Linked DNA regions of Xenopus tropicalis. The protein of the gene in region 2 interacts with the protein of the main gene of each other region in a biochemical or structural test. Links are inferred from orthologs where the notes say so. Each region holds a gene or a part of one and is shown on either strand. Other genes may lie near its edges.

What was found.
Region 1: the proteins of sh3gl2 (region 2) and synj1 form a complex in vitro, tested with the Homo sapiens proteins (2 studies listed by BioGRID and IntAct, with this or other methods). The link is inferred for Xenopus tropicalis from reciprocal best matches to the Homo sapiens genes SH3GL2 and SYNJ1.

Annotation. Positions count from the first base shown.
Region 1 is NC_030678.2:15,168,179-15,172,580, reverse strand, and holds part of synj1 (synaptojanin-1), read right to left. Parts: intron 4,186-4,402; coding exon 4,077-4,185; intron 3,211-4,076; coding exon 2,981-3,210; intron 2,372-2,980; coding exon of another isoform or gene 2,351-2,371; exon of another isoform or gene 2,348-2,350; intron 1-2,347. UniProt on the Homo sapiens protein: Phosphatase that acts on various phosphoinositides, including phosphatidylinositol 4-phosphate, phosphatidylinositol (4,5)-bisphosphate and phosphatidylinositol (3,4,5)-trisphosphate. Has a role in clathrin-mediated endocytosis.
Region 2 is NC_030677.2:118,224,896-118,229,824, forward strand, and holds the start of sh3gl2 (endophilin-A1), read left to right. Parts: upstream 1-1,848; 5' UTR 1,849-1,881; coding exon 1,882-1,926; intron 1,927-4,929. UniProt on the Homo sapiens protein: Implicated in synaptic vesicle endocytosis. May recruit other proteins to membranes with high curvature. Required for BDNF-dependent dendrite outgrowth.

The sequences.
Region 1 (4,402 bases), on a different chromosome or scaffold from region 2:
TTCATTTACAGTATTTTCTGATTTCACAGTACTACACAGAAATTACATTCGGAAGGAAGTTTTTTATATAGAGGCACATTTTTGCCTTCCTGTTCTGCAGATCAGCTCCTTTGGCTGAAGTAAAAAACATCCAATTGTACTATCAGTTTAAAGGCCAGTGCTACAAAACATAGCTCTAAGGTAAATGAAGCTGATAAACCACACAGACAATATCCAAACCTAGAATCTCCTTTGTTGTAGTCCAATTAATAAGCTGCAGGCAAAAGTCTTCCTCTGCCATCTGATACATGATACTGTCTGTGTGTTTTAAATGGACTAGGAAAAACCTACGGGGAATTGTGGCAAAAGGAACTGCTAACACAAAACACAATGAATATATATATATTGCGTATGATTTGTAGCATGGACGGTACATAGGAGCAGTTTGTATTTTAGCTTTAGTGTTCCTACAGCAGGTTATATGGTGACAAATTAGTGATTAATTGAATGCTTCTAGATCATTGTACCAATATATCATGCAATATCATGCAAGTAGCGTAATGAAATATGCAGTTAGTAACTTATGGCCAGTCCTTTTTTAAATAAAAAACCTGATTAGTGCAAAATCTCAATGTTTCTGTTACACTAGTACATTATATTAGTGCGGTAAGTACCAAACTTACCAGTTGCAGTTTAGAGACAAACCCAGAAAAAAAAAAAAACTATCATTAAGCAACTCTACTGAGTAGGGCACAGCTAAACCTTTAACAAAAGAACCACATTTACTGCCTGATGCCTTATTTTATTTCAGTCTTTCCCATTGATTTATCAAATATTAATTGAGAAGCCCATTGTTTGGTCCCAACCATGGGTTATCCAGAGTGACTGTCAGTAGCCTGTGATTGTCACATCTAATATCCAATTAAACACCATGGTGTAATATGGCAAAGTGTGCCCCTGGGAGCCAATCATTAGCTAGCTTTTATTGCCCTAAAGCAGTGGTAATAACTGAATTGACCATCTAACTGGCCTCAGTAGATTACTCCACTTTAAGACTATAGCTGCCTTTGCAAAAAGCAAGCTGTTTGTTGTATTGATGCTGTTTGCACATAATGATTTGTATCTTTCTATAAAGACATTAGGCCAGATGTGTACCCTCTCACAATAGGTTTACATTAAATTACTTAGGGCAGCGACACACGGGAAGATTAGTCGCCTGTGGTATGGCATATGCGTCAAGTTTCCTCTGAAGACAACTTCGGCAACTGTGGGACATCGCAGTGCCATCCCACCGGCGATTTATATTCTAGCTGGTGGGATGGCATTGAGGGAGATTAGTCGCCCGCAACAATGGAGATTTGTCACTGTGCGACTAATCTCTCCGTGTGTCACTGCCCTTAGAGGCATGGGGCTGATAAGGAGAGGAGTAGGGAATTTTTAAAAGCTAATTTAGAAATTAAAAAAAAACCAACCCACAGGCATATATATTAAAACACATTAATTTTATTTCAAAGGGCACCTAGCACAAAAAAGAAGTTTTTTTGCAACTAGAGGAGAAGGTTAACAGAAACACTCTAGCCAGTGCTCTGCATCCTATTATGGGTGGGAGGGTACACAAAAGCCTCAGTTCATGATGTGGAATCAGGGAGCATATTGACTGTTCATACATTGTACAATAAGCGGCCAGGAGCACTAGCTCCTATTGTACATGCGTGTGGCCCAATATGGGTTCCTGCTTATGGAGCTGCCATTGTGAGGGTGCAGAGCTCTCCCTAGGGTGCTTTTAGCTGAAGCATTATATACACATTGCTTATGGTCTTCGAGCGGCTGCACATGCTATTTACAGCAGTAAATGTTACCTAAACGTAGGGATGCACCTAATCCACAATTTTAGGATCCGGCCAAACCCCAAATCTTTTGTAAAAGATTCCAAATACCAAACCGAATCCTGCTGAAAAAGGCAGATTCTTGGCCCAATCCTGGATTTGGTGCATCCCAACCTAAATTTAGTATGAATTGGTAAAATAACAGATTTCCAGAACATCCTATAAGTCTGCTTTCCAGATAATGTATTCCAAAACTTTTATATGGGGCCAGTAAATAAAGAAACTGAATTGGTAGAAGTTTTTTTTTTGAGAGGATATTTTTATTTCCCCTTTCAGGTGAAACTCAGTGACTGGCCACTTTTATTCATTTCATTTTTATTAAAAAATCATTTGCAGATGCAAGGAAGAAATGGGTACTAGCCAACATAAGATACATGGTCATTTTCCGAGGCATGACAAACGCTGAAAGCCGATATGAGTCGATCAGTAATGGAACTAACTAGGGTGAATTGCACAACATTATGGGTAAATTAGTCAGGTACCTGTTACCCTGATGGTTGCTCCTGCTTGTGATAAAAAGACATTAAAAGATATTAAAAGAATAAAATTAGGTGAACAGGATCCAGACTTAACATGCAGAATACTTTGTCTACTAAATTGTTTGAAAGAAGAAAAAAAACAAAAACAAAGGGAGCCTATCCCTCCCCCCCCCTCCCATGCTCTATATGTGATGCAGTGTTTCTGGTGCAGTTAGTAAGTCAGTTAGAAAAATGGCAAATAACCATACAATATCCTGTACTTTTGGAACTGCTTATTGTTTCTGGTGCAGTTAGTAAACAAGTCAGTTAGAAAAATGTCAAATAACCATACAATATCCTGTACTTTTGGAACTGCTCTTTTTTTCCTACATAGAGATGCATTTGTTTCAAACTCATACTTTGTGCCTTTTATTACATATGTGGGCAACAGAATTGCTTAACTGCCCATACAAAGATTTAAAAAAGTAAGCAGAATATCTGAAGAACTAATGTCAAATTAAACATCCTGGTGTCTTCCTTTGGATACCCGACTACAGTACTATAGCAATTTCCTGCTGATGAACGACAGCCTGATATAGTATGAAGTCTGTACGAATTCTCTTGGTTTACAATGTACCATGAAGCAGAGACACTTACCTGCTGAGAAGCATTTTGGTCAGTGGGCAGGTTCTGGGAGGAGCGGCTTCTTGGAGGAGGGAGTGGAGGAGGGTCTAGATTTTGCTGTAAGGGTGGAGTCTGGGATGCGGCCTGTACTGCTGTAGGTAGAATAGGTTCAGGCAGTTTTTGGCAGGGTGGTTGGGAATTTGGACTGGTTTGAAGAGGAGCCGCAGGTTGAGGCTTCAAGGGCTCAGGAAGTAACGGAACACCTAAAAGGGCACATAGCCAGATATAATTAAGTTGATTAACCAACACATTAATGCATAAAATATGGGACATCATTTAGTTTAAATATGCTATAGAGCTATTATAGCCAATTAAAGAGGTGGTTCACCTTTACATTAACTTTTAGAACAGTTAAAGAATTGCCTATTCCTAGCAACTTTGCAGTTGGTTATCATTAATTATTTTTTTATAGTTTTTTAATGATTTGCCTTCCTCTTCTGCCCCTTTCCAGCTTTCAAATGGGGGTCACTGACCCCAGCAGTCAAAGACGAATGTTCGTCAAAGATAAAATTTGATTGCTATTGTTACTTTTTATTACTTGTCTTTCTATTCAGGCTCTCTCCTATTCATATTCCCATCTCTGTCTGGTTGCTAGGGTTCTTACTTACCCTAGCAACCAGATAGCTGCTGAATACCAAACTGAAGAGCTACAAAAAGCTAAATAACCAAAGAACCATTCAAAATAAAAAATGAAAATGGATTGAAAATTATATTTGAATATCAATATCTACGTGACACCAAACGTTTATTTAAAGGTGAACAAACCCTTTTATGTGTTACTTCTGCCATTTACATTTGGATCTGGTTAAAAGATGGTAAAGCAAATGGAACAATTTTTATTCCACCTTCCTCAAAATAGAGTTCCAGTGGAGAAAATGCACCATGTGCCATAGGCCTAGCGTATAAACTGACATCACAATTTTTCTTTAGATGAGCAGGAATTTGCGTCCAGCAGCAACCATAGGTCTGCCATTTGCACACCACATCTCATCAGGAACATACCAATACCTGTGTTTGGTGCCCAACTAGAAAATATGTATGTATATAGGAAGTTAAGACTGTACTATACCTCTTGCAGGTTCGGTGGGCTTGTTTGGGACCTCAGGGGTTGTTCGAGCAGGAACAGGCCGAACATGGCTTTGTGGAGCACTGATAACTCCAGCACGAGGAGGAATGGTCTGGTAGGATACAAAATAAAGCTTCAACAACAACAAGAGCAGCAAGGCTTTCTTTTTCTCACAAACCTAATTTTCTATCGACTGTCGAGTCAGCCAAAATGACAGAAGGTGGTGCCGTGACTCTTTAAACTGGCGGTGCAAAATAAATAAATCCCACAAAAAAATTACATTATTGTTACAATGTTACATTAATTTATGCCAAGGATTAACACTTCTG
Region 2 (4,929 bases):
CTGAAAATAGCTAGACCCCAGTGCACCTGAATGTGTTCCATTACTGGCAGTTCTATCTACATACGGAGCTGCCTACAGTATGGCAACATACCGTATACTGTATTGGGATGGGGGGACACTTTAGCGCAGGCTGCAGATAAAGGCGAAGAAAGATTCTTTGCACATGCACTAGGGGTATATTTACCATTCTGTGTAAAAAGTGGAGTGAAACATTACCGGTGATGTTGCCCAGGGCAACCAATCAGCAATTAGATTTCAACTGCTATGGCTGCTATGAGCAACATCACCGGTAATGGTTTACTCCACTTTTTACACAGCATGATAAATATACCTCTAAGGAAGGGATGTATAGTAGAAACCAGTATTTATTAGCAATCACAGGGGTGGCCACTGATCAGCTAGGGATTTCATCTGTGGGTACTATACAGGTGACAACGAAGAACCCCTATTTTTCAAATCTAATTTTCCCCACCCTTTTTAACACCCAGTAGATAAGCGTTCTAAATGTACAGTATTGATATGAACTATAATTCCTGGAAATGTAAGTCCAGCATTATGCATGTTACAAGCAATGTGTGACAATTATTTAACAAATATTGAACCACTACAAAGTAATGTTTTATCACACAGTCACCTTTCAGCATAGTTCAAGCACCAGTAATGTAGTACACACGTAGCACAGGGTGTTTCAGGTTACCCTACACTGTTATGGGATGCCTGTGCAGTGAAATTGTCACATCTCTCTGGGGACCTCATCCTACTATTTCCAGTACACTAGCTCTCTACTGTATCTTGTGGTTAAACATGTGCACCTTGCAATAGCATTTTTTCCCTTTTTTACATTAAGTTTATTGAATTATTTAACAACCAGAAACAGTGAAATGACAAAGATGCTATGCTTATGATTATGCTGTGAGGTTTTGCCCCCTAGAAGAGCCCAAAGCATAGTAAAGTGCCCAAGGCTAATGGTCAGTTAGTTTGAGATTTGGGGAGTGCTAACTTGCTTTCCTAGATATCCCCTAAAGCCTAGACTGATAGCCAATGAAGGTACCTAATGTAATTGATTTACTGAATATTGTTGTAAATATAGTAGAATGAGTGATATGGTTCAACAAATGTATAAGCTAAGTATTAGCTAAGCAGGGCTTGAACCCAAATAATTTGAACATTGAACAGCAGCATCAAATTTGGGAGTGGGGGACAGACTAGAAAGACATTTAATTTAAAGAGAATGTAAGTTTTAGTAGACTTAAGATAGGAGATCCAAATTACGGAAAGACCCCTTATAAGGGATACCCCAGGTCCAGTGCTTTGTGCTTGGCAGTGATGTATGCATTGGGGACAGACAGCTAAAAAAAAAAAACTGTGTCACAGCCGGGCCCCCTTTAAAGCGAGGATATCGTCCGGGCCGGCACAACAGTACCCCCTGTGCCCCACTGATGGCGGCCCTGCACTCACATACATAAACTATATATACAACCACTAATACTAACTGTAGATATTAGTATCACAATAGCCTTGGATATTCTGATTGTTAAAGAACTCATCCAGGCCCCTCTTAAAGGCATTAACAGAATATGTTTCCTATCTGGTTTTATAGCGAGAAATATTTGCACCCAGAAGGTGATAGAATCCCCTGATGCGCCGCCACTTGGGGGAGGCCCCACACAGGGGAGGGCAGGTGGGAGGAGCCAGGCGGGCTGCCTGCTGACGTCACGGTGTCCCTGCATTAAGGCGGCAGCAGCATCACAGGATTACTGCCATCCGAGCAGGAGAGGAGAAATTCCCTTGCAGTCCCGAGCGAGGCCGGCCATCTGCACCTCTCACCCGGACACCAGGCAGCAACAACAGCAGCAGGAGGGGACCCGGCCATATTGCAGCATGTCGGTAGCAGGGCTCAAGAAGCAGTTCCACAAAGCCACTCAGGTAAATCAAGCGATTTCATGGCTGCAGCCCCCTGTCATTCTGCAGAGGGGTCCTTCCCTTTTCCCTGTCGCCCTGGCTCTTGCCTACATTATTTTGGGAACAACGACTATGACACGGATTCATCTGTTCAGCAGGTTTCGGGGCATTTGTGCAAGGCGAGCAGCGCTCTGGCTGTGTAAGGGTTAACCCCCAGGGGCATCTCCAGGCTATTTTTATCGCTGCAATTGTGATTTGTTGCTATATGGAGTGTGTGCATCAATACATCTGATTATATGGGTGTAATTGCTAGAAATCCCCCCCTCCCCCCCATAATAGATGTAAATACTAGCGCAGGATCCGGGGGTAGGCTGGAATTGATACTCTGCTTTCCCATAATATATATCCCATGGGAACCCCCACATGACTGTAGTAAGGATGGGGCTTGGTACCCCACTGGCTGACTGATAACCATGATACACACAATAAAACTTCAGCATGCCATGGGTTAAACAAAAGACAATGCCAGCTGTCATGGAAATCCAGGTCAAAATGAAATGTATTGAGGTAACTCAGTAATCTGCCTCATCTTTGTGGTTTTATTTCTATGGTGATGCACAGGCAGTAAATGCAGGGGAAAGCTGTGATCCTAGCAATGGTGATAAAATGCAGCAGGGTTATCTCTCTGTCTCTGTGTTGGAGGCGTGCAGCAGCTCTCCTGTGTATCACAGCACACTTGGATAAAATGGAGATTAGGAGATAGGCACAGCATAGAGGGATTACTAACTGCTGAAGCCAAATCATGATCTTAGATTTAGGATTTACATCAGTTTGTCTGCAGTCAGTGTTCACACAGAAATTCTCCCATAGAGGTCACCTCCTCATCCCTACTGCTGCCTGCAGCCAAAAGCTCCATGCAGAGCTATCTGATATCAGCTGCATTATTAAACAGGTTGGGGAGGTCTCCTCTCTCTCTCGGCTCTTCTGCAGGAAGGATGTGATATTGCAGTTCTGTTTTTTTAATCCCCTCTCATAGGGACACTAGGACATGATTTCAAAGTTACCTTTAATTAGGGAGTTTAAAGCCTCTATTATTGCTATTGTTTGCCTCAAGCCTTTCACTGTATATGCCGTAATTTTCAGCATCACGTATAATGACTAAAGCAATATGCTTTATACCTGCTGTGTAATAGCATTTCTCATTAGTTTTTGCACATTACCTGGTTAAGGTTGCTACCGGCTGCTATTACACATACCTAGTTGGTAAAATACTGACTCTGCCAGTAAACCTGCAATACCGGTTCTGACCTTTGTCATTTCTAGTAAATGTAGACTCTCCTGTAGGTACACCACCAGCCTGCCCAGTTATGCCCCAATCAGGCCTATTTATTTGCCCTCTTACAACCAGCTTCCCCTGATTCAGGAAAAGTTATTGCTATATTTTATGCTTGCTTAATGGAATCAGTTTCTTGGATTCTTGGTGACCTAATTTACTTGCTCTTTGGCAAACAACAAAATCTCACACTTGCTTTTTTGGAAGGAATTCTAAATATACTTTCAGGATCAGAGTTGCAGGGCTCCAACAAAAAGCCCATTTTGTATTATAATAAAAGGAGTAATGTGATGACATAACCCTGTTAAATGCACCCTGAATTAATCATCCAGGGAGCAATAGAAAACTTATCTTTGCACTCAGTGGAATAAATACCATGAGAGAAAGGAATACAATCTGCACCAGGATCTGCCCCCCAGCCTCCCAATGGCCCAGAGCCCTGCACATCCAACAGTGGCATATATAGTATCTGTTCTTAGAAAAGGAATGCAGGGGCCCTTCCCATGTTATTTTCCTTAAGTAGACCAAAATATTTATAGGGCAACTAGCATAAGGCAAGATATGACCAATATTATGTACAAGGCTGCTGTACATGCCTGTAGGTACAGATGACCTCTAAGGATTTAGTCCCCTATTTTCATTGCTGGTGGCATCACTGGGCATGCATGATCTGCTCTAGTCACGAGTAATAACTCCAGCATGCAGGCCACACTGAATACATGCATTGCTTCTGTCACTAGGAAAAGAGCTGACACAAGATGAAGGAAAACTTTTCATTCATGGCTCTTCATTGTCATAGGGCCCATGTACCCCTAGGCTGGTACGACTCTTTTAAGACAAGTTGTGAAGCCCCCCTCGCCCATGTCTGAGTGCAGGAGTGGTGGCAGAGGGGGTTCTCAGTTCGAAGATAGGAAAAGAAGCTGCCTTGGGGCTGGTATGGTAAAACCTAGGCATCTAGTACATTATTTACCAAGTGTTGATTTCTGTCATCTGTCACTACATTTTATTTTATTAGAAAGCCTGCCCAAATGCAGGGGTCAAGTGTAGACACTGAAATTAAATAGTTAATAGCTGATCCATTATTGAAAAATATTTTAGAAAGCCCTTTAATTGTGACTACATTTGTATAACTGTACATCAACTTCAACCAAGTTGCATTGCACAGTCTGTTTTTATTTGGTGTGGGTTTTAATATAAAATATTCACTGGCTGAAATTCATATGAATCTTCGACTGTGTTGTGGAAGGTTTGTAAACTTGAACAAAATAAAGGAATAAAAGGTTTAGAGGAGTTTATCTGAAAGCTCCAAGGGTAAAATTCATCAATAAATTTTTTTTTGGTTCAGTTTTCTTGCTGAATCAGCAAAACAGCCGACATGCAGTTTACTTTTTCCTGATGGGAAGGTTAAATTAACAGCACATCAATATCTGAATGACTGAATTACTTTCCATCAAAACCCTACTGACCCATGAGTACATCTCTAAATGTATAGTAACATTCTTAAAGGAGCAGGCACCTTTACAAACATAATTTCATTTACTACACCATACATAATGTCTTCATTTTGTAATGTATTATAAAATGTAGGTTTTTAAAAACAAATTAGTTTTATTTTCCTCCCCCATTTTAATTTGTTAATTAGGTTAACTGCCTTTTAAACTGTTAATGTTAAAATTAGATACATTTCTCAGGAG